Linked DNA regions of Tamandua tetradactyla. The protein of the gene in region 1 purifies or fractionates together with the protein of each later gene. This does not show direct contact. Links are inferred from orthologs where the notes say so. Each region holds a gene or a part of one and is shown in the gene's direction. Other genes may lie near its edges. The genes, in order: CBX5, MBD1, AHDC1 and DAXX.

What was found.
Region 2: the proteins of CBX5 (region 1) and MBD1 purify together in Homo sapiens (affinity purification with western blotting; 3 studies listed by BioGRID and IntAct, with this or other methods). This does not show direct contact. The link is inferred for Tamandua tetradactyla from reciprocal best matches to the Homo sapiens genes CBX5 and MBD1.
Region 3: the proteins of CBX5 (region 1) and AHDC1 purify together in Homo sapiens (affinity purification with mass spectrometry; 3 studies listed by BioGRID and IntAct, with this or other methods). This does not show direct contact. The link is inferred for Tamandua tetradactyla from reciprocal best matches to the Homo sapiens genes CBX5 and AHDC1.
Region 4: the proteins of CBX5 (region 1) and DAXX purify together in Homo sapiens (affinity purification with mass spectrometry; 3 studies listed by BioGRID and IntAct, with this or other methods). This does not show direct contact. The link is inferred for Tamandua tetradactyla from reciprocal best matches to the Homo sapiens genes CBX5 and DAXX.

What each region holds. Positions count from the first base shown.
Region 1 is NC_135333.1:115,670,124-115,677,023, reverse strand, and holds the start of CBX5 (chromobox protein homolog 5), read left to right. Parts: upstream 1-3,899; 5' UTR 3,900-4,046; intron 4,047-6,900. Other genes in the region: HNRNPA1 (heterogeneous nuclear ribonucleoprotein A1), read right to left, coding at 190-345, 848-997, 1,172-1,246, 1,481-1,573, 1,656-1,748, 1,830-2,040, 2,154-2,300, 2,583-2,699 and 1 more. UniProt on the Homo sapiens protein: Component of heterochromatin that recognizes and binds histone H3 tails methylated at 'Lys-9' (H3K9me), leading to epigenetic repression. In contrast, it is excluded from chromatin when 'Tyr-41' of histone H3 is phosphorylated (H3Y41ph).
Region 2 is NC_135344.1:32,380,169-32,387,481, forward strand, and holds the start of MBD1 (methyl-CpG-binding domain protein 1), read left to right. Parts: upstream 1-4,301; 5' UTR 4,302-4,873; intron 4,874-6,250; 5' UTR 6,251-6,275; coding exon 6,276-6,385; intron 6,386-7,313. Other genes in the region: CXXC1 (CXXC-type zinc finger protein 1), read left to right, coding at 335-361, 439-684, 854-961, 1,101-1,285, 1,495-1,702, 1,782-1,892, 2,034-2,083, 2,238-2,334 and 2 more. UniProt on the Homo sapiens protein: Transcriptional repressor that binds CpG islands in promoters where the DNA is methylated at position 5 of cytosine within CpG dinucleotides. Binding is abolished by the presence of 7-mG that is produced by DNA damage by methylmethanesulfonate (MMS).
Region 3 is NC_135328.1:198,675,598-198,683,393, forward strand, and holds the start of AHDC1 (transcription factor Gibbin), read left to right. Parts: upstream 1-4,780; 5' UTR 4,781-4,798; exon of another isoform or gene 4,799-5,240; intron 5,241-5,477; 5' UTR 5,478-5,575; intron 5,576-7,796. UniProt on the Homo sapiens protein: Transcription factor required for the proper patterning of the epidermis, which plays a key role in early epithelial morphogenesis. Directly binds promoter and enhancer regions and acts by maintaining local enhancer-promoter chromatin architecture.
Region 4 is NC_135331.1:89,253,946-89,261,395, reverse strand, and holds the start of DAXX (death domain-associated protein 6), read left to right. Parts: upstream 1-4,446; 5' UTR 4,447-4,552; intron 4,553-4,598; exon of another isoform or gene 4,599-4,644; intron 4,645-5,416; 5' UTR 5,417-5,468; coding exon 5,469-5,675; intron 5,676-5,828; coding exon 5,829-6,660; intron 6,661-6,786; coding exon 6,787-7,001; intron 7,002-7,155; coding exon 7,156-7,351; intron 7,352-7,450. Other genes in the region: SMIM40 (small integral membrane protein 40), read left to right, coding at 1,920-2,162. UniProt on the Homo sapiens protein: Transcription corepressor known to repress transcriptional potential of several sumoylated transcription factors. Down-regulates basal and activated transcription.

The sequences.
Region 1 (6,900 bases):
AACAGGTTCATTTTCCATTTCAAGTATACTTAAAATCTGAGCTTTTAATATATAAGGCAAGTTTTTAAGCCTATGCATACTACCTTGTGTTAAAGATAAGACAAAAGAAAACAAAACTTCAAGGCATCCCTTATCAATACTAGGCACAGCTATACTTAATTCTTCCAATACTACAGGTTTGTATCATACCTTGGTTTCGTGGTTTGGCAAAATATTGGCCTCCACCACCATAGGGGCCAGAACTTCTGCCTCCAAAATTTCCTCCCTTCATGGGTCCAAAATTTGAAGACTGATTGTTGTAACTGCCAAAATCATTGTAGTTTCCACCACCTCCAAAATTGCTTCCTAGGAAAGAAAACAAGTCCTTTGTCTGTTTAGTGTTCTGAAGTGAAACAAGGTTTATCATTTGCCCGACTACCAAGCTCTGGTCATCCTTGTTATTTCATCTTCTCTGGGTAAGGCATTCAGTTGACCAATCCAGTACTTTAGATAGTTCCAATTACCATAACCTAAAAGATTTCAGAGTTTTTATAGTGGCATTGAATCACTATAAGCAGCTTTCTTGGATTACTCAACCAGTACCTAAGTTCCCAAAGGAGAGTTAAAATACAACCCTGCTATGGAAGCTAATCTAACTCCAGCTGAAGACATCACTATCCACTTATCTATTTGTGAGTGAGGCGGCCCCAGCTTAAAGCTAGGAGGAGGTAGCACAGCAAGCCCATTTAAAAACATACCATGCAGCAGATCATCTAATGCCTTTTAAGAGCATCAAATCCCAATATAGCTATAAACTAAGAGGCTAGTCTAGCCCTCACACCAAATACTTTGATCACTGGATACCTACCACTACCACCGCCAAAGCCGCCTCCGTTGTTATAGCTGTCATAGCTGCCACTCCCGCCATAGCCACTGCCCTGGTTGCCATAACCCTGTCCACCACTTCCATAGCCTCTGCTTCCTCCAGAGTAACCAGGGCCGCCTCCTCCATAACCACCTACAAGAATACAATTCTTCTCTAAGTATTCAACTATTAAAATCTGTGTAAGCACAAAGGCTCACTCACAACATGCAGTTTATGGTGACAACTGAAGTTGTCCCGCACTAGTGTTAGCCTCTACTATCCTAATCTAAAACAGGTTACCCACATATTCCTTAAATTAAAACTCACCATCATTACCAAAGCCATTATAGCCATCCCCACTGCCACCATATCCACCACCACCTCGGCTGCCACCAAAACCACCTAGAAGAAAGCAGAATGTTAATACAATTAGGCTTGAGTATATGAACCACTTATTCTGAAAAAGAAACTATAATTTCTATGCCAAAGGGTTTTAAACTTTTGGTTAAGGAGAAACAAGCACTACATTTGGATAAATTAGTAACTTTGAAAATAAAGGCCAGTAGATACATACTACCACTTATCTGAGTTAATTAAATCACAAGCTTATTCTTAGTAAACTTCAACCATACATACCACGACCACTGAAATTTCCTCCACGACCAAAGTTGTCATTCCCACCAAAACCACCTCCACGACCACCACCGAAGTTTCCAGAACCACTTCGACCTTGTAAGGAAAGAAAACGTTAAGCCATACAAATTGAGATTACTCAGAATTACTTAATAAGGTTGAATTAAGTAACACAGACCTCTTTGGCTGGATGAAGCACTGGCCATCTCTTGCTTAGACAGGGCTTTCCTTACTTCACAGTTATGGCCATTCACAGTATGGTATTTCTGAACTAAAAACAGAAAAGATAAAAAGGTGACCCTAAGGAACACATGGATTTTGGAACTCTTAGTCTCAGTCATCTGATACTTACTGACAATCTTATCCACAGAGTCATGGTCGTCAAAGGTTACAAAAGCAAAGCCTCTCTTCTTGCCACTGCCTCGGTCGGTCATGATTTCAATCACTTCAATTTTCCCATACTGCTCAAAATAATCTCTTAGGTGATGTTCTTCAGTGTCTTCTTTAATGCCACCAACAAAGATCTTTTTCACAGTTAAGTGGGCACCTGGTCTTTGAGAATCCTAACCGGAAGAAAACCTTGTCAGTTACTTAAAAAAAAATCCCACAACTCTCACAAATCTGAAACATCTAATAACACATTTCCAAATGACTAAGGAAAGTAAAACACACTTACTTCTCTTGAGACAGCCCTCTTTGGTTCCACAACTCTTCCATCCACTTTATGTGGCCTTGCATTCATGGCTGCATCCACCTCCTCCACAGTGGCGTAGGTGACAAACCCAAAGCCTCGGGAGCGTTTGGTGTTTGGATCTCTCATTACCTGAGAAAGGTTTTAATTGACTTAAAGTTCCCAGAAACTGTCAAACGTTGATTACGTTTAACAGGCAAGTTTATAGTAGGGAGACCATAAAACTCTCGTTTCCCACCACCCTAGATTTTTAAAAAGAGACCTTAATTAAGTCATTAACAAAAAGCCACACCTTCCTTGACCAATCTATTTAAAAACACTAATCCTATTAACTTCATAGGCATTCAAATTAACAGTGTAGCCCTAGGACATCTACCAGGTTTTACTACCCTTTTTACCCCTTCCAAGTCTTACCACACAGTCCGTGAGCGTTCCCCATTGCTCAAAATGGCTCCTCAGACTTTCATCGGTTGTTTCAAAGCTTAACCCTCCGATGAAGAGCTTCCGCAGCTGTTCAGGCTCTTTAGGAGACTAGGAGTGAGTGGATAAGTATCAAGTGGAAATCTTACAGACAGGAGGGGCAAAATTAGCCGCTAGCATACATTGCACTTATTGTTCTTTCAAGCCGCGACAAACCATGTGCTTTTCCCTCTCAGGGACGGCTTGTTGCGGATGGAAGGCCATAAGCGCATGCGTCCCTATTCTCCTCCCGACGCACGCGCAACAAAAGCAGGGGGCGGGAGGGGTGCGTCGCCAGTAAGGGACGAAAAATTGTCAAGAAATTAGAACGCCGAGACAAGCTTAAACAAAACCAAAAAGATTGGACAGATCTAAGTATTTTACCAGGCGTTAGCATGAGCCCGTTGTAATAAGTAATGGTTGCCGGAAACCGGCCTCATGGCGACGACGAGGACAAAATGGCGACCCGAACTTTGGGAGGGGTAGGCCCTGGCAGCTACGGAAGGAATCGTTGGATGGGCTGCTGCAAGCACCGAAACGAAGCCGAATCCTAAAGAACTTAGGAAAGGTCGATAGAGACAGTGAAGTTGAAAAGAGAATTTACCTCTGACTTGGACATGACGGCAGTGAGAGGAATGACTTCAACGATGCTTCCCCAGCGGCGTCCAAGAGCAGAAAGGAGTAAGCTAACGAAACTATATGCCAACCTACCTTCTGCCTCTCCCTTTTATCCCGCCTCCTCACTTTCAGCATTGGTGGGTTCCGCCCCCTCTTAGCTATGATTGGATATCTGAAATTACTTCTTTCTACGATTGGCCTGTCTTGCCGCATTGCTATGCAACGTCATCCGTTTGGGCGTTCTACGCAGCTCCTCCCCTTAGAATCCATTGGTTCCTGAGTAATATTATTCTTAACCTGTCTGATTGGCTAGCCTACCAGTCATTCATATTTGAACGTACATAGACTGTTTAAAATGCTTTTTAATTATTAACACCCCAGTTATTACATTCGATTGACTTGGAAAATCACGCTTCATACTGTATTAAGACAGGTAGTTAACATGTACCTTTTTTTTTGCACCAACCCCCTTCAAAGCGCATGTGTAAGAAAATGGCGAGTTTACGCAGGCGCATTAAGAAGTTCCGGCTGCCGCTTGGAACACGCGAAATGGCGGACGGGAGAGGGCGTTGACCCTAGAGCGCCTGCGTAATGGCGGGAGTTTTTTTGCCCCTTTTTGCGCAGGCGCAATGGGCGGAGAAAGGGTCCGGTCCCAGGATTGGTCGCGCAGGCGCAGGAAAGGATCCGTTTTGGCGGGCGGTTGGCGTTGCGCAGAAGGCGGCGGCAGCTGTGGCCAGTAGTCGGACCTCACCACAGAGGGATAGAGAAGACGTTAGCGTGAGTGATCGCTCTACATCCCGGGTAAGTGGCAGACAATCTAGTCTAGCCATACGAGGTCTTGAACCGACTCCAGTTGGGCCCGTTATTGTGTGAAATGAATGGATCGCGGGGTGGGGGTTAGGGAAGGGGGAGCGGTGGGCCCAGCTAACCAATAGAAGATCAGGGGGCGGGATGTTTTAGCCCTGTAGGGTTTTAGAGTTGGGCAGCTGAAGAGTTTGACTGGCGGGTATATAGACCTATTGGCTCTCCCTTTACCTACTGACTGATCGGTCTTTGGGCCATCGGAATGTGGGAGACGGGTTTTCGCCTCCTGAGCAGCGTTTCACTGAGCCAATGAGTAGGAAGCGCGCGGTAGGTTGGGCTTCTGCAAGAGGCAGCCGTTCGACTCCAATGGGGAATGTGGGAGTCGGGCGGCTACATGGATGGACCAGATCTGGAACCAGTAGGCAGACAGCCTAAGGAAAGCGCTCGGGCTGGTGGTCCAATCAGCGTACCAAGAGAGGGAGGGCTGAGATTTGGGGGTGCAAGGAAGGGGGATCAATGCTAGTGATGGCGTGCGAGAGTGGGTATTTTATCCACAATGTCTTTTCTAATGAATGCTAGTTTAGATCTCCATCCCATTCACTTGCTTGGTAGGGAAACCATACGTTTGTTGGTATTTTTTTCACCCCATCGTCCACCACTTTTTAGGTTTTGGGGGGAGCCGTGGAGGCCTTTTGACTTTGGGAATTCGCTTCTTTAGGAAGACTGACAAAATGCTAAAACGAATAAGATACATCTCTGTATACAGTTATGGAAAGACATCGAGATACATCTACAAAATAATAATGCATATTTTACGGACAAATTAGATACGTTTATAAATCCATGGAAAAAGTTTTTGGAAAGCTAGACACCAAAGTATGTTATTTATCTCTTGGAACACGGTGGGATAGGGCGGGTTGGGTTGGTCCGTGGGCACTTAAGTGTTTATCCCTAGTGTTTAAATCTTCGCAGGGACAATAATTTGGAATTTAAAGTTAAATTTACAAAAATAAAGGTATGTCATGGATATGATGGTAATGGTAGCATAATATTGTGAATGTAATTGTTTGAATTGTGCACATGAAAGTGGTTAAAATGAGAAATTGTTTGTATATATGTTACCAAAATTAAATAAAATAAAAAATAAATGCAGTTGGTTTTTTTTTTTTTTGGTATTCCAGTCATAATCACCTACTTCTCACCACCCCTTTTCAACCTCTAAAGAGTGTTGTTTTCCCCTTAACTAAGGTGATTTTTCGGTATGAAAATAAGTAACTTTTTTTTGAGTACTTAGTAGGGCTAAGCATAATGCTAAGTGCTTTATAAGGATTATCCATGACCCTGTCCTTTATCTTAGTTTTTTTCTGAGGAGTGCCCCTAGAGATTTTTTACAACCCTAGAGATTTTTGAACACCTCTTTTTGCTGTTCTTTTTGAGAATTTTTGTATTTGTATAAGGAAGTTAAGGAGAATGATATTTAGACTGTTGGGGAAAGGAAGATCCATTAAACAGATAATTCATTGCCTTTTGATTATATTTCCTTCAAGGTGTTTATTTTATGGTCGCAAACCTAATTGTATGTATGATAATGATGCAGCTGCTTTCTTTTTAAGAACTGAAGTGAGGTTAAGGATATTTGTCTCCAGTTTGTTTAGGTTTGAAAGGAATACTATTTTGATCTCAAATTCAGCCTCAGCACAAGACATTTTGAGCTGGGTAATTCTTTGCTGTAGAGGGCTGTCTTGAGCATTGAAGGATGTTTAGCAGCATGCCTGGCCTCTACCCACTAAAATACAGTAGCTTCTCACCCTACCCCAAATTGCAACAATCACAATGTCTCTAGACATTGTCCGATGTCTTGAGGGGTGGAGATGGGGCTCAAAATCTTCCCCTGTGGAAAATCAGTGCTCTAAAATATGGCAGATGCTAGAATTGTCAAAACATTTTAACAATTTGAAATTAGGTAAAGGAGGGAAGAAGTGGCTGAAGTGTTTAGGGAGTGGCCTTTGGTGGTAAATGGAGCACTAAATCCTAGTAATTAGCTCTTGGATAATCTCTTCCGATAGTCTTGATCAGTGTTCCATTGGATAAAAGGAAAATTTCGTTCAGGTTTTTACGATTATTACATTTTAAACATATTGGTTAATTATATTTTGTGTTTGTTGGACTTCCTAAAATAATCATAAATTATAGATGGTTCTTAGGTTTTCACTTGATTTAAGCCTCTTTCCTGAGAATCTTTTTGATCAATGACTCCAAAACTTTTTAATACATTTTAGAAAAGAAATATGTTTACTTAGAAAGAAATACATTTTACACTGTCCATGTACACAAGTTCTACTAAATACATGGGCAAAGCACTCTGATATTTCTCATTTATAGTATACTATTACATTTAGTAAAAAATGAAGTTCCATTTTTCTACTGAACTGATTTGATTTCACAGCTTATCACCATGTATAGAACCACAGTTTTGGTGGGGGGAAAACCCCCACCAAAACTTTGATATGAAAAATAGATAACCAAATTGTGCCACGTCCGTAGATTCCTCTCTGAGTGGATTCTTCAAACACTTGTGCTTAGCTTTAAGGCATACAAAGCAATACCTAAAAGGTTTATTCACTACAAGGGAAAAATAACACATTTTCCCTGATCTGTCTGAAAGCTAATAAGTAGAAAGCTTCTATCTAGATAGTGAACAGGATAATGGTTGGGGAAAGAGAAAGAAGGAACATCTGAAGTGACTGGATTTTTATATGTCTGGGAGAGTTCTGGAAATTCTGAGAGTCCTTGACAATAGTGCTGAAGGGAGGGAAAGGTATCCAGGGAACAAAGTCTTCTGAGGAGGATT
Region 2 (7,313 bases), on another chromosome or scaffold:
GGGTCTGTTTGTATCCAGGCAAGTGAGAAGGAGCTTGGCATGTCCAAATTGATGTGGCATGACCAGGTGTGCTGGGCTGGTAGCAGGGTCCCCCCTCCCCCCAGTCTTGGGTATGTTTGAGTGGGTAGGTGGGACCAGGTATTTCTAGGTGTTTGAACTGTCAGGGCAATTGGAACAGGGTTGAGCATGTCTTGGTGGGAGGGCTGGAACCAGTTATGTCTGGGGAGGCAAGGCAGAGCTAGGTGGGTGGGACAGGCACTTGTGGGAGGGGGCTAGGGTGGGGCCACCCCCTATCCACCTGGGGCTGACCTGGGCCTTCCTCCTGCCGGCACAGGAATCGTACAAGTACTTCCCTACCTCGGTGAGTCCAGCCCCCCAGGGTGGGGCGGGGCATGCGGGCAGGGCGGTCAGGGCCAGTCCTGAGATTCTGCCCCTCAGCTCTCGCCAGTGACGCCCTCAGAGTCCTTGCCAAGGCCCCGCCGCCCACTGCCCACCCAACAGCAGCCACAGCCATCACAGAAGCTGGGACGCATCCGTGAGGATGAAGGAGCAATGGTATCATCAACAATCAAGGAGCCACCTGAGGCTACAGCCACACCTGAGCCACTCTCTGACGAGGACCTACCACTGGATCCAGACCTGTATCAGGACTTCTGTGCAGGAGCCTTTGATGACCACGGCCTGGTGAGCAGGCTGGAGTATCCTGTGGTGGAAGGGTGTGGGTTACAGAAGCAGAGAGTATTCATAGTAAGGGGAGAGAGAATAGAAGGAATGGAAGGCCGATTTGGAAATGAGTAGTTGATGGGGTTGTCGTAAGTGGGGCAGAGAGGTCTCTTCATGCCTCCACTTGCAGCCCTGGATGAGTGACACAGAGGAGTCCCCATTCCTGGACCCTGCACTGCGGAAGAGAGCAGTAAAAGTGAAGCATGTGAAGCGTCGGGAGAAGAAGTCTGAGAAAAAGGTGATGGAGTGGGTAGAATGGGCTTCAGGAAGCCAGAGGTCAGGGGCTTCCTCTGAGAAGGAAAAGGGTGGAATGGAGGGGGAGCAAGGTTCTGGGGCTGACTCGACCCTACTTTGATCTCACCTGCCTTGCCCTACAGAAAGAGGAGAGATATAAGCGACATCGGCAGAAGCAGAAGCACAAGGACAAATGGAAACACCCTGAGCGGCCAGATGCTAAGGATCCTGCATCACTACCACAGTGCCTGGGACCTGGTTGTGTACGTCCTGCCCAGCCTGGTTCCAAGTATTGCTCAGATGACTGCGGCATGAAGTTGGCAGCCAAGTAAGTCATCTATGTGTCTACTGATGAGTCACCTGTCCACTATTCAGTCAACCAAATACCCGCCTATCCACCTACCTACTCATCCTTCCTTCCACCTATCCACCATTTAGTCACTTTGCCATTTTGCCATCCTCTGACCACCACCCCACTTATGCATCTTGTTGCTTACTACCTTTTATGCCTGCATCTCACCCACTGCCACCCTGCAGCCGCATCTATGAGATCCTGCCCCAGCGCATCCAACAGTGGCAGCAGAGCCCTTGCATTGCTGAGGAGCATGGCAAGAAGCTGCTTGAACGCATTCGTCGTGAGCAGCAGAGTGCCCGCACCCGCCTTCAGGAAATGGAGCGCCGATTCCATGAGCTTGAGGCCATCATTCTACGTGCCAAGCAGCAGGCTGTGCGTGAGGATGAGGAGGTGAGCAAGTGTGGGCACAGCAGGGCAGGGTTCAGCATTTGGTCCTGCTTGGTCTCATCGTTTCTTCCACCCCATGCAGAGCAACGAGGGTGACAGTGATGATACAGACCTGCAGATCTTCTGTGTCTCCTGTGGGCACCCCATCAACCCACGTGTTGCCTTGCGCCACATGGAGCGCTGTTATGCCAAGGTCAGGGTGTCAGCCTGAGGGGGCAGTTGGTGTGGGAATATCAGTGGGCCCTTGGGAGATAGAATTTGTTTTCTGGGTATTGTTTTGGGAGGGCATGCAGCACACATCCACACTTCCGTCCATTTGTGCTCATCCCTCCAGTACGAGAGCCAGACGTCCTTTGGGTCCATGTACCCCACACGCATTGAGGGGTGAGTGTGGGCGCCACGTGGAGTTAGAAAGGGGTTGTAGTTGGAGTCAGGAGTGGAATGTGAGTGAAGATGGGGCAGGACATGGGCATGGGCAAGGTTAGGTGGGGTCTTCCTTCTTTCCCTCCACCACTCTCTCTCTGCTCCAAACCCTTAGGGCCACGCGACTCTTTTGTGATGTCTACAATCCTCAGAGTAAGACATACTGTAAACGACTTCAGGTGCTGTGCCCTGAGCATTCACGCGACCCCAAAGTAAGGTTTCCCTTCATCATCTCCAATTCTTTCCCTGCCTTTCTGCCCCACATTCATCCCTTCTTTCCTGACTTTCCTACCTTCCTTCCCTTTTTCTTACCTGACCACCTTCCATTCTACCCATTTTCCCTGCCTCCTCACCCCCCTATTCCTCCCAGTATCCCTCACCTCATCACCCTTCATTCCTTTTTCCTTCCTCACTGCCTCTATTCTTAACTTTTTTCCTGCCTCATCATCTTCCATTCTTCCCTGTCTTCCCAGACCATCCTCCATTCTTGCTTTCCTCACAGACCCTTCTTCATCTTCTTTGCTTGACTTCCCACCTCCCTGCCTGAGCAATCTGTATTCTTCTACTTTGTAGTCATTGTCCTCTATTCCTCCCCTTTTTCCTGCCTCCCCACTCTTCCCTACTTTCTGTTCTTCATTCTTTTCCTCCTCCCTCCTTGACCAACCCCATTCTTACCTTCCTCCTTGCCTTACCACCTTCCATCCCCAACCCTGGTCTCCCTGCAGGTGCCAGCCGATGAGGTATGTGGGTGTCCCCTTGTACGTGATGTCTTTGAGCTCACAGGTGACTTCTGCCGCCTACCCAAGCGTCAGTGCAACCGGCATTACTGTTGGGAGAAGTTACGGCGTGCTGAAGTGGATCTGGAACGTGTGCGCGTGGTAGGTTTTGGGGCTGGATGTGGGGAGAGGCAGGGCTTCAGGAGCCCCGTTTCATGGCCCCACATTTTTCCTACAGTGGTACAAGCTAGATGAGCTGTTTGAGCAAGAGCGCAATGTGCGCACAGCCATGACAAACCGGGCAGGGTTGCTGGCCCTGATGTTGCACCAAACGATCCAGCATGACCCACTCACTACTGACCTCCGTTCCAGTGCTGACCGCTGAGCCTCACCTGCCCAGGTCCCTTCACACCCTGCATTCCAGGCGGGGAGCCACTCTGAATTCTCCATATGTCTGTTTCTTCATTCATCTGTTTCTGCGACGGTCCCTGAGTTTCTACTTCTGCCCATCCATCATTTGACTGCCCATCTGCCCTGACCAGAGGATCTCAGTATTTCCCCTTGGATTTGTCTTATCCCTTTGTTTCTACATCCTCTGTGCCTGGGTCAGACCATGGAGTCTGCCCATGTTATCCTCCCTCCCTCCTCACTGAGTTTTGTTAATAAAATTTGGAAGAAGCAAGGAAGAGAATTCCTGATGACCTCTAAACTCGTCTGTGGCTGAAACTGCATTCCCCAATCCCTGAGAAGATGGGCAGTGACACACCTGTATACTCAGGAGGGGCTGCAGTACATGTGTAGTGAGCAAGCATGCGGTTGGCCCTTAAGCTGATCTTCAGGAACCCCTTGGGCTGTTGGCGACAGTAACCTGTTCACATTCTGTTGTTGGGACACTGGGTATAGTCAGCGCTCATTCAGTGTGTGGCTGACTTACCAGCTACTGTGTGAACGTTAATATTCTCCAGACCAGAGGTGTATTCGACGGTGGATGCAAGGCCTCCTTGCTCCCCCCCCCCCCCCCCCCGTAAACTCTTCTTGAGACTTGAGGAACCCGTTCGGTTTTTGATGGAAGTCCCAGCTCCGCTGTCACCCGTTGTGAAGTATATTATGGCCCCACAGAATGGCTTTTGGGTACCGGGCACGCCCTCATTCGGTTGCATGGTGTATGCCCACTGTTTTACCTGTATTGCGGCACCATCCCTTTCCCAGTGTTATCGCGAAAGGAGCTGGGATCTGATCGCCGCATAACTAGTGTCCGAGGGAGGAGAGTGCCAGACTTAACAGACCAGGGTGAGATGGTTGGAGGGACCGGGGAATACAGGAGCGATCTCAGATAGAGGTGGAAAAGGAGGGCACTGTCAGGGAAAGGGAGTGCGTAAGCGTAAGCCCGGCCCCTGACACGCCCCTCTTGCTCGCGCACTCGAGTAAATAGTTGAAGGGAACCAAGAGCTTAGATGTTAACATCTGGCAGAAGACGAAGCACGCCGCTGGACGGATGCGCAGGCGCACCCTTAGTCCTTCACGCCCCCTTCGGTTTAGATCTGGAGCGCAGGCGCAAAAGAAGTGGGCGGAGTGAGAAAAAGAAGGCGCCGGCTGGGAAAGTGAGGAGCGCAGGCGCTGCAGATCCCAAACAGAAGCGCGAGCCTAGCTGGACATCAGCGTGTAGACCCGGGATATACCTAGGAGAGGGGCGTGCCCAATTGTGGGTTCTCAGCGCGCCAGCGCAGCAGGTCCCCAGGAAGGGGAGAGCGCCGCTTTGGTCGTCAGCACGCAGGCGTAGAAGCTTCCCATCTAAGGGCGCGCGCTGGTGAGGCATCAGCGCGCAGGCGTTTCTCTGGGGCCGGAGCCTGAGAGGCGGACAGCGGATTTCCGGTTCCGGGAGCAACGAACAGCCGCGGCGGCGACAGCTACAGCTTCGGAGGCGGCTGCTGCGGAGGAGGAAGAAGAGTAGGGCAAGGCGGGAGGGGCGGGCGGGAACCCCGCCATGGATCCGTGGGCCTAGGGCGGCGGAAACTACCGGCCCGGCGCCGAGCTGGTGAGACAGCCGTGCGGGTGAAAGTAGAGGGCCATCAGGCGGAGGATGGCGAGGAATTGGGTCCCAGAACGCTGTCGGAGAGTAATGAAGGGCCCTCATGCCGATGAGGGGGAGAAATGGCGGCATCGAAATACTGAAGGAGAGAAATTGGGGGGTTTCAGGCGGGGGTTAGAGAGGAATGGGGCTAAGAACGCTGACCGGTAGGAGTGTCGGGATCTTGGAACAAGGACAGAGAGAAATGGGGGCTGGAGGGAGCGGTTCAGAACCCTGAGGGGGAGAAATCGGGGTCTCTCAGCTTGAGACAGAATGGGGTCCAGAAGTCTTGAGAGTGAAGAATAAGGGGCCCTCAGTCAGATGACCGGAAGGAGTGGGAGCGTCGGAGTGGCAAAAGGAGGGAATGGAGCGGGGGTCTCATATGGAGGACGAGGAGGAATAGGGGTTCAGGACGCTATCAGTTAGGGATTGCATCGTAGGATGAGAAGGGAAAGGAATTAGGGAAGGGTGGTCAGATGTTGAAGGGAGAAATCAGGGTCCCAGGCTGATGAGTGAGGAACAGAGAATACGAGAGTGAAGGGGAGTAGTAAAGCACTTGTTGGCTGTGGAGAAGAGGAATGGGGAGGTTTTCCCGCTTAGACTGGGTCAGAACAGTGATGGGGAGGGAAAATAATAGGAGAACGCTTGGGGCTGAGGAAGGGGAGGCTGTGCAGGCTAAGGATATGTTGGAGTTGGGAGCTCTCTTAACAGAAATGCAGAGGAAATCGAGCTCATAACACTGAGATAGAAGGTTAAGAGGCAACCAGGCAGAGGGGAAGGATGGGAGGGTTGAAACACTGAAGGAAAGAAATTGGGGGACTCCTAGTTCAAGAAGGTAAAGGAATGGGAGGTTAAAACACTAAGAGTACTAAGGAACTCTGCCTAGGGATGAGGAAATAGGGACCTGTTGGGCTAAAGATGGCGAATACAGGGGTTTCAGACTGACAAAGGGGAGAATTGGGGGTCTTTAGGTCATTGGGAATAGTCCTAGGCCAAGGACAGGGAGAAATGGGGAGGAATGAGGGAAAGAATGGAAGATTCCTGGGTTGGCAATGGGGAGAAGTGACAGTTTTAGGTAAAGATGGGGAGATCAGAACACAGATGGAAGAATGAAGGCCTGTGGTTCAAGAATGAGGAAAAATAGTGGCTACCTGTTCAAGAATGGGGAGAAGTGGGCCTGGGACAGGGAAGAATTGGGTAAGAGTGGAGGGTTTTCTCTTCCTTTGATAGGCTAATTGTATTTAACAGTTCCTGGGCAGATCTTAATGGATACCAGGGCTATGTGTGGCCTAGAGCACAGGTCCTCTCTTCCTAGAACCTCACTTTGCCCACCTTACCTTGTAGGCCGCTGCCCCTTCCTGTGATTCCTATGGCTGAGGACTGGCTGGATTGCCCAGCCCTGGGCCCTGGCTGGAAGCGTCGTGAGGTCTTTCGCAAGTCAGGGGCCACCTGTGGGCGTTCAGACACCTATTACCAGAGGTACTTGGGTGGGTTGTGGGCAGAGTCAGGGATAGGGCTGATCCTAGTTAGGGGTAGGGTGGAGTTGGGGGATGTTGTATAGGTAGGATTATAATTCAGCTTGTAAGTATATAAGCATGTATGGTTATAAACAAAACACATGCTTTAGAGTATATTAGTGATGTAGTTATTAACTTTCTATATCCTTCTTGAACTTTTTTTGTTTCTGAGTTGCCAGCGTTCTAGTAAAACGTAGTAATATTATAAAGACATTTACTTTTTATTTGTACTGCTATAAGCCAATCTGAATGTTTACTTACTTGTATAAAACTTTCAAAACTAATAAGTAAATGTAAGTGAAATTGTCAAGAAATTGAAGAGTCTAAGTTTACTGTAATAGGATAATATAATAAGTGAATGTGTCACAGTTCTGTGGGTGCTGGTAGGAGAGAGAGACTCTTGGTTAAGAAATGGAAAACAGTTTATTATTCACAGCAGCAACATTACCGAGAACATCATCATTTTTGCACCAGTTCCCTGAACCCCATTTCCCTCAGGGTGATATAAAGATGCTCGTGCAGTGGGTGTGTTATAGAAGATGAACCTTAAGCTTAGGGAATCAGATTTTTTATAGAATGAACAGTAAACATGCCTTTTGCTCTAGAAGGAGACCCTGTCTTTGACAGACATCCTTGAAAAGATAGTCCATAACAAAAGGCAATCAGTGTCTCTTCTGCAAGATATGCAGAAATGCAAGAGATCCATGGAAAATTGTCTCCAACATAGATTACTTGTACTTTGTGTTCTGTGTGATTGTAACTATTTGCATATCTGTGTTTTTAATATACTTATTTCTGATTCTTGTATTTTGTGTTATAATCTTTGTATACTTAGTTTGCAGATTAACATTTATGTATTTTTTGTTGCTATTTGTGCTTATTTTTATTTA
Region 3 (7,796 bases), on another chromosome or scaffold:
CATCCCACTGCTCCATGGAGCAGCGTGGCAGAGCATGATACTGACCCTGTGTCAGGTCCAGGGAGGACACCATGCAGATAAGGGTCTAGAGTGGCCTCATACATGCCAAGGATTGTACTTGTAAAAGAACATTTATGAATTCCACACTTAACTGATACTGCCTGTAGGCCAGTCCTGTCCAGGAGGCAGAACAGCTAACAATTATAACTCTCAGGGGCAAGGTCAGTTTGGGGGCCAAGGGAGGCTTCTTCGAGGATGTGAAAGAAAAGTCTGCCTAATGAAGCAGTCAGTGGATGGAGGCATCTTCTGGTGCGGGAACAGCATGTGCAAAGGTATAGAGGAGCAAGGGCCATTCAGACAAGTTCAGGAAATTACGTATGTGAAGGCCAAGGGTGAAGATAAGCCTGGAAGAAGGTTGGAGGGTCAGAAGGAAGGGGGCAAGGTAAAAGGTAGGAGGGGAATAACAAAGGGGCAGACCCCCATGTTGCAGGAAAAGTCAGAAATCCAGAAGTCCAGGACCCATTTCACAAGAGTCTGTCCTGGATCTCACTGTTCCAGTAGAATGCTGGTTGGATCTTCTATCCATTCCAGTAATTCCCTCCTGTGTATAGGGTCCAAGATTTCACCCCTTCCCCTGGCCCATCCACAACCCCAAGCCTGGACCATCCTGCAGTGATGTTCACTCTCCCTCTAGTGTCCACTCTGGGTACTACACCACAAACTGCAGGAAACTCCCCAGGGATGGTACGTCCCTTCAAAACTTTCCCACCGCAGCATAGTTTCTGCCCTCAACACACTGGTGGTGGTGGTAGGGGAGTGTGGCATGAGAAGCAAACACAGGTAGAAAATGGTAGTGCAGGGTGTGTTGTGAGAGCAGGGGAGGGTCCTAACTCAGTTGGATAGGGTCCAGTGATGCTTCAGAGGAGGTGATGCTCCACTCAAGACTTAAAAAAAGAGTAGGAGTTTACTTGGTAAGGAGGGAGAGAAAGACATTCCAGACTTGATGGGGAATTAAGTGAGCAAAGCTCAGAGGCAGGATGTAGGGCTGCCCAGAGTTACAATCAGACAGGTGTGACTGGAGTATAAAATCTGATGGGGTTAAGGGTTGAAGATGAAGAAGGAGAGGTAGGCATGGGCCTTGCCTGCCATGCATGGGGGATGTGACTCCAAATCTTGGGCAATGGGAAGCCACCGAAGTGTTATGAGCAGGGGAGTACAAGGTCAAATTCTTTCAGAAGGAACTCTCTGGCGACCAAAGAAGGAGGAAGAATGAGAGGGAAAGAGGCAGGAGAGGGACATTTCTCTTAGGTACAAAGACCCATACCATATCACACTTAGGACGACACATAGCTTTGGCCAGGCCTGTGAACCAGATATGTCAATACACGCAATAACACAGACTGAGCACCCACAGACAAACATGGATGTTTTCATATACACTCATCCACATAACTCAGGTCCATGAATGGAAACTGAGAACACACAAATTTCTCCCTGGATAGCAGGAGCCATCACACACACCCTGATGGACACAGGAATTCTCACATGCGGTGTAGCTGTCAAGGGCCCTACCCTGCCCCCCTCTGTCTCCTCTGGGTCCCTCATCACCTCCGGCAGGAACAAAGCTGACCTTTGCCCTCTGGCCTCTGGCCTCTCCTCCCACACCCCCTGCCCAGAGGGAGGAGCTGTTTGAAGTCTGGGCTGCAGCTGGGGTTTCCTGTTGCCTGGAGGAATGTGGGAGGACTTGCAGGGGGAAGGGAGAAGGGCCTGCCAGGAAGGAGGGATAATGAGGGCCTGAGCCCCCACTTTCCCACAATGAAGGGGGCTTTCTGCTTTCATGGTTTCTGGACCCCAGCTCTGAGCTGCTCCCATTCAGAGGTGGGGAAGCTGGGGCCACAATGGCTTCAGTCCAAGGTGCTTCTTGTTCTTTGATCTGCAGCTCAGTGACTCGGGGCGGGCCCTCAACCTCTCTAGGCCTCAGTCTCCCTTTCTGTGAACTGGGCTGACTCACTCTCTAGCAATGCACATCTCCCCTGAGGCAGCCCCAATAAGGAGACTAGTCCCAGCATTTCCTGTAGTTGGGGACTCCCGGGTGGGGTGGGGGTGGGGTGGCAGGGGAGTGCAGCGCCTGTTGCTACCAAAAGCCCATTTCACTCTGCCCCAGCCTCTCGGTGACTGTCATTATTATCATGATGCAATAATCCCTCACTGTGCCCTTGTCAGTTTTCAAAGTGTTTTCACACCCATGTGCCCAGTTAATTTTCCCAATTGCCCTATCTGTAGACAGTAAAGGGACCACTACCTCTATTTTGCATGTGGAAACTGAGACTCAGGTGAAAACACACCCAGCAAGTAAAATTATCAGAACCAGGTCTGTCTCCCTCCAAACCCTGAGGCGTACACCTTTATAATCTAAACTCTCACCCATATTCCCTGAAGTACAGCTATGCCACCTTCTGCTCACATATCAAAAGCGGTTGGAGTGAGCTGGGCCTGAAAGGGATGATGAAGGCATTCTAGAACCTGGGTCCCCTTAAGTCTCCTTTCTCCTGGAGTTTACAATTGTCCTGCCCAACTGTGGTGACCTGGAACCCTGTTTTAAAGAACTGGGTTAAAGAACTGGGAACCCTTTTAGCCTACACTTTCAGAGCAGACACAGAGTTAGGTCACTAGGTGGCAGCAGCAGCCCACAGGAAGACTATGAGCTTGCAGATCCCTCCACCACCACCCCCCAACACAATTTAGAGAGGCTCCAAGAGAAAGACGAGCCCCCCAAACGACAGGGAAAACCTGTAATGCTTGGGTTCCAGGATATCCAACATTTTGGAGGCTAAAAGAACCCACTTTTTCTTGGGAGGGGACAACTGAAGCAGCCCGGGACAGGAAGGTTGTGCTTGGAAAATCCCATCTAACTTCATGCATCCAGTTTTGGGTCCTACTACCTCTCCCTCTGCACCTCATCACTTAAGCCTCTGATGGTTTTAACTAGTGCTTCCTGACCATATAATTCTCATGTTCAATGAATAAATCTTTGAACCCAAGGTCCGTCTTGTCTGCAAAGGGAAGCTGCTTGCATGCCAGCCCCAAGATACTAAATCAATAGTGGTACAGCTTAGAACCTTAGACCTCTTCTGCTGCAGTCCCACCCCCCTCCTTAGGAAGGACCAATAGTAAGTGCTCCCCAGACTCCCTCTTTTGTCCTCTGGGGAGACTAGGTTGTCTTAGAGGAGGGTAAGACTACAAGGCTTGGGAGAGGTGGAAGTGTGGGGAAGGTGGTACTAGGGAGCTGCAGTTAGCAAAATGTCAAGACATGTCTTTGTCACACGTTGGTCTTCACTTTGCAGGACCAAAGGAGGAGTCAGAAACAGGTGGACTCAGGACAAAGGTGCTGCCAGAGTAACTTCAGACACAGAGCAAGACAGACAAAGCCAGCAGACAGGGAGCAAAGGAATGTCAAGCACACGGACGAGGTGGGGCAAGCATAGGACCAGTCAGGGCACGGTTGGTAGACATTGAGGATAGGACAGCGACCATGCATTATTCATTTCCGTGTCCGCTGCAAGCCCTGCATACCTCAGTTAACATTTGTTGAATTGAAGTGCCAAGAGAGGACACACAGACGCAGAAGAGAAGGTCAGGCAGAGAGTAACAACTCCCTGCCTCGTGTATTTAGCCCAGGAGTCAAGCACATGGGCTTTGGAATCAGCTGGGTTCCACCTTTTCCTAATTGTCATCACTTCCTTAATGCCCTCATCTCTAAAATGGAAATGATAATAACAGTACCATTTCAGCCGGTTGTTGCAAGACTCAAGAGCCCTGCGGTGCCCAGTAAATGGCAGCCGCGGCAATTCTCCTTCCCGGGCTGTCCTGCCGCCTCCCCATGGTAACCAGGCCCTCAGCAGCAGCAGTGCACATTCCCATCGGCGGGGTAGGCCAGGCGGGGGGCCCTGAGGCAGGGGCTGGATAACAGATGTGACCTGAAGAAGACGTAGGTGAAAGTGCTGAGCCCAGCCCCCAGCCGCAGCAGGGGCTCCGAACTGTTGAATCTGAATCCTGTTTCCAGATACATTGTAAACGCTCAGTCGAATTCTGCAAGGTGGGGGCAGGGGCAGGGGCAGGGGGAAGTGTGGGGGGGTGGTTATCTGTGGATGAATCAGGTTTTTTGCGCACTCCCCGCCCTTGGGCTTTTAGAAAAACTAGGCTTTGGAGGGCCTAAAGCGGCAGCTCAGAGCTTGAAATGGGGCGGGGGCGGAGGGTGGTCACTAGGTGGAAAGGGGGAGCTGACTGGGGCTTTGAGGTTTCCTCAGCGGCCCTCCCGCCATAAGCCCTGGCGCTTTACTCAATAGGTAACCTATTCAGAAAAGGAGCTCGTCCCCAAATTCAGAGAGCCGGTCCTTCCCTCTCTCTTCTTCTCCTCCAATTTAATTTCGGTGCCTCAGAAAGCCGCAGCCCCTTTGGTTGCGCCCCCTATTCTCTATTCGAGTCCCATTCCGTCCCCAGACCCCGCCCCTTCGCCACCACCCGCAACTCCGCTCCAGCCAGAGCACCCCGGCGGAGACACGGGACGTGGAGAACATTCCCAATCTTTGGGGAGGGTCGGCGCCCCTCAGTAAGCCCGAACGCGCTCCCACTGGAGGCGCCGGGGCGCTAGGGTTCGCCGCCAGCTCCGGACCGCGCCGTCGGAGCTGCCCGCTAGGCCCCGCCCGCCCCGAGCGCCGCGCGGCCGGGGCGAGGACTACAAGTCCCGGCGTGCCGTGCGCGCGCTCCCCCCTGGGGTTCCGGATGGTGAGCGGTGAAGGTAAGGCGAGCTCGCAGAGGCAGCGGCGGCGGCAGCGGAGACGGAGAGAAGCAGGCAGGCAGGGCGAGGGCGAGAGACGGAGGGAGGGAGCGAGCGAGGCAGACCAGACAGACAGACAGGCGGGCGGGCGGGCAGAGCGAGCCACCCGCCAGGCTGCGCTCAGCCCCGCTCGCAGCCGAGAGAGCAGAAGGCAGGAGGAGGGAGGGGAGGAGGCGGAGGGAGGGAGAGAGGGAATCCAGCTACCACCACCCAAAGCCAGCGTCTGCTTTCTGTCCTCATTTCCTTTTCCCACCCAGCTCGGAGAGCAGAGAAAGGCAGAGAGAGCGAGAGATAGAGATAGTCAGAGAGAGACAGACAGACAGCCAGAGAGAGCGGGAGGGAGGAGGGCGGAGGAGGAGGAGCAGAGAAGCAGGAGGACTACGCGGGGCGCGTTCCCTCCCAGGTTTGCAATTGGGGAGGTGGGGGCGGGGGTGTCCAGGGCTGTGAGAGTGTGTGCGCGGTGGGGGGGAACGAGGGGGGGCGCAGAGAGAGCGAAGGAGTGATCGAGGTGGGGGGGGGCGCCGCGGGAGCGGGGGGCCGTGTCCAGCGGAGTTAGCGGCGGAGAATGTGAACCCAGGCGCGAGCCATGCTGTCAGCGACGGCGGGCGGCTCAGGGCTCCTCCACGACTCCTCTCCCCAGCAGCCGGGCGCCCGCGTCGCTGCCGCCGCCGGAAGACGGACGCCCCCCAAAGCCCTCCGCCTGGCTCGGACCCACGGAGCCGGCAGCCCAGCACTCCGGTGAGTGGCGCCTCTTCCCCAACCCCAGTCCCTCACTGGGGACCCGCCGGTTGGGCTCTTTTGTACAGCGCACCAGGGGGGACCCCGCGCCCCCTCCGCGCCCCTCGGTCGGGTCAGCCGGACCCGGTGGCTGCGGTGCCCGCGGTGCGATCGGTCTTTGTTTCCGCCGGGGCCCGCGGCTCGGCTGGGCTCGGCTCGAAGCCTGGCAGGCAGCGCCGGGAAGGGGGAGGGGGAGGCGGACGGGGAGGGGGGGTTGGGAGGGGGGGTTCTCGGGTTTCCTGGCCGCCCCACGGCTCCCCAGGCTCGGGGGCGAGGTGCGCGCCCAGCGCTGCCGCGCGCCCCCTCCTCCTTCCCCCTCCCTCCGCCTTTGGATTTAAAACTGCAATTTGCTCTCCAGCTTGCTGGGAATGGGGGGGGATGAAGGGGGGACCGTGGGAGCGGAGAACAAGGCTGGATTTTAGGATCGGCGTTGGAGAGACGGGAGACTGCGGAGAGAGGAGCCCCTCCCCTTCAATCCCTAAATCCCAAGGTTCCGCTGGTGCTTTGGGAGTTGAGGGGCGGGGACCTAATGACCCGGAGGGGTTGTGGGGCGGAGGAGGCTTTTGGGGGCGGCCAAAGCCGGAGGGTTTGGGCCGCGTGCCCGGTTACCTGGCGAACAAAGTCGGCTCACTTTTGCATAAATAAATAAATAATCGCCTATCAATGCGTTTCCTCTGGGGCCCTGATTGAATCGGTCCCCTCTTCCCCAGGGGGTGGGGTGCTGAGTGACAGCTGTCAGCCCCCTGGGCCCGAGCTGGGGGTAAATTGCTGAATCCCTCTGCTTTCTGGCTGAAGGCGCCTTCCCATGCTGGGTCTGGGTCCCCCGGCAGAGCCAGAGGGGCAGGGGGCTGGCTCTGAGTCTAGGAAATAACCTTGTTTCCTGTTCTACAGGAAAAGGGACAGCAACCCAGAGTTTGGGGGCTGGATATGAGGTCTGATGGGAGTTGGGGGGGTGCCCCAGCAGCCTGACCCCCCCCCAGCCTCCTGCCAGGCATAGGGGTCAGCTGAGGGAGGAAGGATGTGGGCCTTGCTGGCCGGAGGCGGGAGCTGGGGCTGTCCCTGAGGCAGGCAGCGGGCACCGAGAGGGAGGAGGGAGAGAGAAGCGGGGGCGGGAATTCTCTACCGCAGACCCTGGGGGCCAGGGCCAGATGTGGAGGGGTGGGGAGTCCCCCTCCCGCCCAGCTTGGGGGCCCTGGGGCTGGGCTGGGAGGGGCTGAGCCTAGTGCCCTCAGTTCTGCACCAGTGCCTGACTGGCAGGGCCAGCTGAATTCGAGCCCAGGCGTCACCCTGGGAGGCAGGGCAGTGCTGCACCAGCGTGGGTCCCTGAACACGAGGAGGGACCTTTGGGGGGCCTGTGCCCGTCTGGCTGGGCAGGCGTTTCCCGCCGGACCAGTTGGTGTCAGGCGGGACTTGGCCCCAGCTCCCTGGGCAGAGCTCAGGGTATGAGGACAAGCTTTGCCTCCGGGTCAGGGTGGCCACATTTTGTCCGCTGCTGCTGCCGCTGCTGGCGGGGCGGGGGCATGTGCCCAGGCCTGGGCAGAATCCTGCCAGGAGCATTTGGGGTGTTTCTATTGTTGGCTTGTTCCAGTTCTATGTGGCCCGTGCGTCTGCGGCTGGGTGAGCTGGGCTGGGAGTGAAAGATCACCAGTCCGTCCACCCCTCCCATGGCTCCTGGCTTGGAGGTGCCAGGCTGGGTTGTGGTGGTGAGCTGTTGTAGGGGGAACCCCCCAGGTGGCATATACATGCCTCTTGCCATCTCCCTCCTTTGAACAGATGTATATTTATTTTTATAGTAATGGAAAATCAAACTGGATAGTAAGTCAAATTTATTTTTTTATCCTGCTATGTCAATAGTTGGAGTAACCCCCAGGGACTGGTGAACTTCTCACCCGAGTTTCCCACCCTTCAGAGGATGCAAAGACCCAGGAGGGGATGGGCTTTGGGGGACCAGTGGGCATGAGTCCAAACCAGTGACCCTTTTCTTCCTTGTAGTCAGACATTGCCCCTCCCTGGGTACTCCCCCCACACACACACACCCCAGGGTCTAGTCTGGACTCTCGGCCACCTCCCTGGTCGGTGCCTAAGCTGTGCCCAAGCCCTCAAGGGACATTCCCTGGTGGGCTCTTTCCCCCCGCCTGGGCTCCCAGCCCACGTGCTGATATTTATTTTCTGTAATAAAATC
Region 4 (7,450 bases), on another chromosome or scaffold:
CATGGGCAGGCACCAGAATCAAACCTGGGTCTCCAGCATGGCAGGCAAGAACTCTGCCTGAGAAGCCACCATGGCCCGCCCAACACCCCTCAATATTGACATTCCATTGTTCTTCCTCATGCAAAAACATTATTTAATTTTTACATTTAGCCACTGTCATTGTACATTCTAAGCATTCCTAGATTATACCACCTCAGTCTTTATTGTCTATCTTTCCTTCTGCAAACCCTTGATCTTGAGGCTTGCTTTTATGAAGCCTATTTCTGTAGTGGAGAAACTAAATCTACCTATGGTTATGCCTTAGAGTTACTTCCAGAAAACCTCTTTTGTTGCTCAGATGTGGCCTCTCTTTCTTTCTCTAAGCCCAACTCTGTAATGGAAAATTATTACCTTCCCCCCTCCATGACACCCAGTGGTCAAAGCTTCCCTGGGAATGTGGGACATGACTCCTAGGGATGAGCCTGGCCCTGGCATTGTAGGATTGACAATGCCTTCCTGACCAAAAGGGGGGAAAAATGTTACAAAATAAGATAATAGTATATAAGAAAGTTCAAATATAGTTGAGAAGCTATTCTGGAGGCTACTCTTATGCTACCTTTAGCTAGAAATTGCTAATTAGCAGGGTTTGCCAAACCCCAACCAAAACCATTCCTGTTAAACCTAAAGAACACCTAGGGCTTTAGTGGAGATTCTACAAAAGTTTCATACTCTAAGATTATTTTCCAGAAATCTACGACCTCCAGATGGTTTCCTAGGCCAGATAAGTCCTGAAATCCAGAGAGCAGCTTCTCCAATAACAGCAAGTAGTTCCATCTCCCATCCTATATTATTGAAACTCCTTTCCAACATGAAAAAGTTAGAGTAGGCATAGCCCAAATACCCCTAAAGATTGGGAGAAGAATCAGAAGAGAAGAAAGAGTTATAACAAAGAAGATGGAATTTAACAAATGAATTATATACTGATGCTTCTTTCAGTCTCCAGTGTCTTGGAGCAGCTAGGAATAAAACTCTAAAATTGTGGAATTGTAACCCATACCAAACTCTGAAATCTGTTCTTTAGCTACTTGTTACAATGTACTTTGAAATTTATTGTTTTCTGTATCTGTTATATTTCATAATAAAAATATTTTTTAAAAAAAGGAGGTTTGGGTAAGGTAGCCCTGGGTCCATAAAGCCTATTCATAACCCTTCTTTCACACTGCAGAGGCCTTAAGTTCAGAAGACAGTGCTCTACATTTTAACTAAACGTGTCAGCCACTGGAGACGTGAGTGTGTGTGTGTGTGTGTGTGTGTGTGTGTGTGTGTGTGTAGGATATGTCTGTACAGAAGAGACCTGGCTGCTTGCCACCACCCTTCTCAGATAGTTGTGCCCCTCCCACATACACACTGTTAAACTGGAAGGGGCTGCAGAAGCCATCTAAAGATCTAGTCCCTTCCTAGACTGTCAGAGGCTTACATTAGTTCATTAGGTCCACTTGCTTACCTCCTATATGTAGGGTTCTAAGGCCCTGAGCCTAGAGATCCAGAATGATTTGGGCAGTTCAGCTGCCTGTTCTTTACAGCTTGCATGTTGGATCTTCAGTTTCCAAACCACAGAACCATAGGACAATAAAACTGGACAGGACTTAGGGATCTGGACTACACGATCCCTAAAGTGCTGTCCAGTTTTACTGTCCTATGATTCTGTGGTTTGCATTGGATGATTCCTGTTCACATTGCACTGGATGATTAAATGACTGTTCCCAAAGGCTCAGAGCCTCTTCTTTCCTTTCTCCTTCTTGGGTGAGGGAATTCGGGTCATGGTAGACAGGTGCAGAACTCATGGCCAGCACCACAGTCTGCCTTAATCCCGGGAGTGCTGAGCCAAGGCTTCCATCCCAGACTCCCTAATTCAGCCAGCTGTCAGACTGTGGGTCAGGATGGCAGAAGAAGAAGGCAATGTGGATGAGGAAGATGTGTTCCTGGCATTTGCCCATGGTCCAACTCCAACCAGGGGTCCTGTGTGTCGGGCCTTGGACAAGGCTTTATTTATCTTCCTGGCCCTTTTTTTGGCACTGCTGATGCTGGAGGCTGCCTATAAATTGCTGTGGCCACTACCTTGGGCAAAATTTGGGGACTGGCTCCTGGGCACACCTGAGAAGGAGGAGGAGCTGGAATTGTGACCACCTTTCCATAAATATCCTTTTTCTCTGCCACGGAGGTGAGAGGGGAGACAGGAGGGAAATGGGAGTGTAGGGGGCTGCAAAATGGCTACTTGGATAGCTCAGAGCAGTCTTAAAATATTTGCATTACGCTCCCTGAAATAATTTTGAAAGTCAATACTTCCTCACATATTAAACCACCCTTTTGTTTTTATTTTAAAATGCAAATATTTCCAATATGCCAAGAATTACATCCTTGAAACAATTTTAATTTATAATGAAAAATTTTAGCTGCCTATTTAAAGGTATGTGAGGAAATATTAACTTTTTCAAAATTATTGAAATACCATAGCAACTTGAAACCCACAAGCACCCATTAAAAAATACATTAAGAAGTTTTTCTTTAGCAGTTGAGAATCTGCTTTTCCTTTCTTCATTATCTCCTTTTCTCCATGAACTACTATTACCATTCTACTACCCCATTCCCAGATAATTTTATATTTTTATACTTGAAAGTCTCTTATCGATCAACCTATATACTTTAATGCATGTATATATACATTAATTAAAATGAAAAATATTTTTCTTTCTTGTGACTATAAGCTCTAGATGTTGACAATTTTTCTTCTGGGTTGGGTTATTACAATTATTATTAGAATAAAATTGATCAAAGCAACATAAAGATTTTGCAAATTTTTATAATTATTAAAAGTAAAAAAAATACATGTCTAATGGAATAGACAAAGTGGCATTTACAGCTTTGATAAAGGAAATAGGTTACCTGTCTCTTTGAGACAGAGTAATATTACCCCAAGTGATTTCATGATTGAAAGCTATACTTCCTTTTCTTTTGAGGAAGAAAGTGTATTGAAAAGGAGAAGGGATGAAGGGAAACCTCTATTGCAGGGGCTTACTCAGGAAGACTAGTTTTGGGAAAGTTGAGGATTTGGACATTAAACCCTTTAAATCTTCCATTTCTGAATACCCTTTGGGGGGTTTTCAAGTTTCCCATTTTGAAGACTATAGGTTTAAAAAACTGGAGATAAGTAGTATGTGGGATTCTTTAATGGGCGGAGGCTTTAAAGTTCTGGGATTCTGATGGCACGGGGGACGTAAGGACCTCTGCAGTCCTGGAAAGTGGAAAAATGCCCACTTGTGGAATGCGCAAGCATGTAGGTGGGAAGTTCAGAGACTGGGGCGATGTTAACTTAACCAGGAAAAATATCTGGTTTCCCCATAAATTCAACTCTGGACCCCGCCCTGGCTCCATCAGTCTCTCAGGCCTTCCTAACGCCGGGCGAGGTTGGGGCGGGGGTAAGGTGGGTGTCACAGGCGGTTTCTTTTCCTTCGTTCTTTCCTCAGCTCTCCCAGAGGAAAAGGAGACTAGACCCGAGGTTTTTCACAAGCCTCATTTCGTCTCACAACCCTCACAGTGGATTTGCACAGATTCCCCTCAAAGCTGCCGCACCATCGTTCATCCTCAGGCCCTGGGGCTCTTCCACAAAGCACAGCCTCCTGGTCAGCACCGCCCGCGCTTCGGGGACCCCCAAGAGAGGGACGGAGAACCACCAGGTCCCATCTGCTTAATTTCTGTGGAGCTTGAAAAGCAAAGCAACAGCAATAATAACAATAACAATCCTATAGCGCGTTGTGCTCATTTGTATGCTTGTATTATGATCTCACGATTGGGAGATGTAGGCATCTTGATGTAGAAGTAGCTGCTGGACAGCGGCAAGGGAGCGCTCAGCTCTTGGAAGGGGAGGGGCTGGCACGGCTGATTATGCTGTGCACATGGTACCTGGGAGATACGAAAGCAAGGCCGGAAGGCTTAATAGCCTAGCGGAAGGAAAAGGTTTCATTTCCATCTTAAGAGACCCCCATCCCTCCGTGACTCCTGAGCAGCCTTGAAGAACTTAACTCCTTATCCATCCTGTTCCATCCCCGCGTGCCCTCCCCCAGTTGGAAAGGTGGCTTAATCCTCCCTGCACGCTACTCGCTGCCGATTGTGCCCGAGGCAGGAAGTTTCTGATTGGCGGAGTCGCAGAAGCACCGGGTGAAAAGAGATCAGCTGGCCGCGCTGAGCCAGCGCCGTACGGCAAAATGGTAGTTCCCGGGTGCTTTAGGACGCCCTGCAGGGACAAAACCCCGCCCCCTACAGATCACAGGAAAGGGAACCGCAGACAACCTGGGCGGCACTCGGAGGTCCCGGGTGGAAGGCGTACAGTTACTTCCGGCCACAGGAAAACAGGTTTCCGTACGACAAGATGGCCGCCACTAGGTGCATGTAGGCGGAAACTCGGCGGCTTCCGGTCCTGAGTGGGGCCCGCGGTGGGAGGGGGAAGGAAGGCGGAGGGAACCATGCGAGGTTCTGAGATCCGCGGCGAGGGTCGCCTCGAGAGACCGTTTCTGAGGTGGGGGCCGGACGGTGTGGGGAGTGGGGGCGGGGATATCGGGGGACAGGTAGTGGGGAGGCCCGGGCTCTGAACCTGAAGGGCAAGCTGTGGTACCTTCCTATGCTTGAGGGGGAGCGGGGTGGCTAGGAGCTGAACTGGGGGAGGGGGACTTGGCGGGAAGCTCACCCAGGGAAGGACCCGACCCAAGGTTGGGATGAGAGGAATCGGGAGAGCCCAGTGCGGGGCTCACGAGCAGTTACGGGTCACTGAGAGAAAATGGGGGAAATTAGAGTGGGGTGAGAGGAAGGGGATTCGTGGTGAAATATCTCCTGTGGGTTCGAGGGGACCTATTAGAGGTTGAAATATAGAGATAATTCAAGGAGGAGAAAGGGTTGTTGGAAGGGTCCATCTTTTACCTGCAGGGTCTGGGAGTTAGGCTGATAATTCAGGATGGGGTGGAGGTACAGATTTTACGTGTTTGATGGCAAAAGGGGAAAAAACACCTGGGGTGGCGCCGATGGGGGTGTGGTATCAGCAAGGTGGTGTCAAAGAAATCTGGGATCCAGTGTGGGAGGTGGTCCTGGGGCTGGGATGAAGAATCAACTTGCCAACTGTGAGAAAACAGTGGAGAAATGCAAGGAAGAGACCGGAAATCGGCTTGAGGGGTGGAGCTGGGGGTGGGGACTTAAGGTTTGGCGGTGGTTTGGGGCCCCAATAGGTGAAGGACATGAAAAGCATATGAAACTAATGGTTGCTGAAAATAAGCAGTGAGGAGTTGGGCAGGGCTGAGTGTAATTGAAACCCAAGAAGATTGGAAATGTGTGAGATGAAGGGATGGGGCTGTGCTGGAGGGGCTCTTTCTAAGGCCCCATCCCCTTCCAGCAGGATTTCCGAAATCCCCAACACTTCCACCCTCCGGGGGATTTGATCCCCCATGGCCACCGCTAACAGCATCATCGTGCTGGATGATGATGACGAAGATGAAGCAGCTGCTCAGCCAGGTCCCTCCCACCCACCCCCCAGTCTGGCCTCACGCCAGGCAGAAGCCCCTGGCTCCTCCGAGCCCCGTGGGGCTGGAGGAAGCAGTAGTTCGGGCGGCAAGAAATGCTACAAGTTGGAGAATGAGAAGCTGTTTGAAGAGGTGAGCTTTAGGGGAGAAGATTCGTGTATCTCAGGGAGGGGGATGGCTGATTGGCTCATCTGTCCTTTCTTTCCCATTAATCCCACGCTCCCTTTTTTCTCTCAACCCCCTCCCTTGTCTCTTTCCCCTTCCCTCTCTCCCTGTACCCTCCAGTTCCTTGAACTGTGTAAGAAGCAGACGGCGGACCACCCTGAGGTGGTCCCATTCCTCTCTAACCGGCAGCAGCGTGCCCATTCTCTGTTTTTGGCCTCAGCGGAATTCTGCAACATCCTCTCTCGGGTCCTGTCTCGGGCCCAGAGCCGGCCAGCTAAGCTCTATGTCTACATCAATGAGCTCTGCACTGTTCTCAAGGCTCACTCATCCAAGAAGAAGCTGAACCTGGCCCCTGCTACCACCACCTCTGTTGAGCCCTCTGGGGATAACCCTGCCACAAACCCCTCTTCGGAACCCACAAATGCTGAGACCTCTGCCTCTGAGGCCCCAAGGACCCGTGGTTCCCGGCGGCAGATCCAGCGCTTGGAGCAGCTGCTGGCGCTCTATGTGGCAGAGATCCGACGGCTGCAGGAGAAGGAGCTGGATCTCTCAGAACTGGACGACCCGGATTCCACATACCTGCAGGAATCTCGGTTAAAGCGTAAGCTGATCCGCCTCTTTGGGCGCTTATGTGAACTGAAAGACTGCTCTTCACTCACAGGCCGTGTCATAGAGCAGCGCATCCCCTACCGTGGCACCCGCTACCCAGAGGTTAACAGGCGCATTGAGCGGCTCATCAACAAACCAGGGCCTGATACTTTTCCTGACTATGGAGATGTACTAAAGGCCGTAGAGAAGGCAGCTGCTCGCCACAGTCTCGGCCTCCCCCGACAGCAGCTCCAGCTCATGGCTCAGGATGCCTTCCGAGATGTGGGCATCAGGTTACAGGAACGACGTCACCTCGATCTCATCTATAACTTCGGCTGCCATCTCACAGATGACTATAGGCCAGGTAGGAGGTTAGCAGGATGCCTATCAGTGACCCTTATATGTCAGGTGTGTGGCCGAAGGGGCAACTCTCTAGTCCTTCCTTCTAGTGTTTGAGTTTAGTTCTCTGACTTTATATTTTCCCACATAGGCATTGACCCCGCACTGTCAGATCCTGCCCTGGCCCGGCGCCTTCGGGAAAACCGAAGTTTGGCCATGAGCCGGCTAGATGAGGTCATCTCCAAATACGCAATGATGCAAGAAAAGAGCGAGGAGGGTGAGAGACAGAAGAGAAGAGCCCGGCTTCCCCAAGGCGCTTCTTCCCACTCTGCAGACTCCCCCAAACCCTCCTTGGATTCTGGCGAGGTATGGGAGGGACATTCCCTCCAGAGAGGCTATAGCCACCCTTGTACTAGCCACCCAGAAGTCCAGGGTGATTGATGGGGTAAAGTGCAGAAGGAAATCAAAGACTGGAACCTCTGGGGCAAGTGATTCCTTAGAGAAACTCCTTCGTCCCCAGGGCCCTAGTGGAATAGCATCCCAGGAGTGCCCTACCACCTCCAAGGCTGAGACAGATGAGGAAGAAGATGAGGAAAGTGATGAAGAGATGGAAGAAGAGGAAGAAGAGGAGGAGGTTACAGATTCTGAAGAGGAGGATCTGGAACAGATGCAGGAAGGTCAGGGGGATGATGAAGAGGAGGAGGAGGAGGAAACAGGTATGTTAGGGAAACATTCTCGCCAAATGTTAGTTTCCTCTACTCTATTGGCCATAAGCTATCTGTTTGAGACCCTTCCCTTCCTCCTCTTTTCCCCTA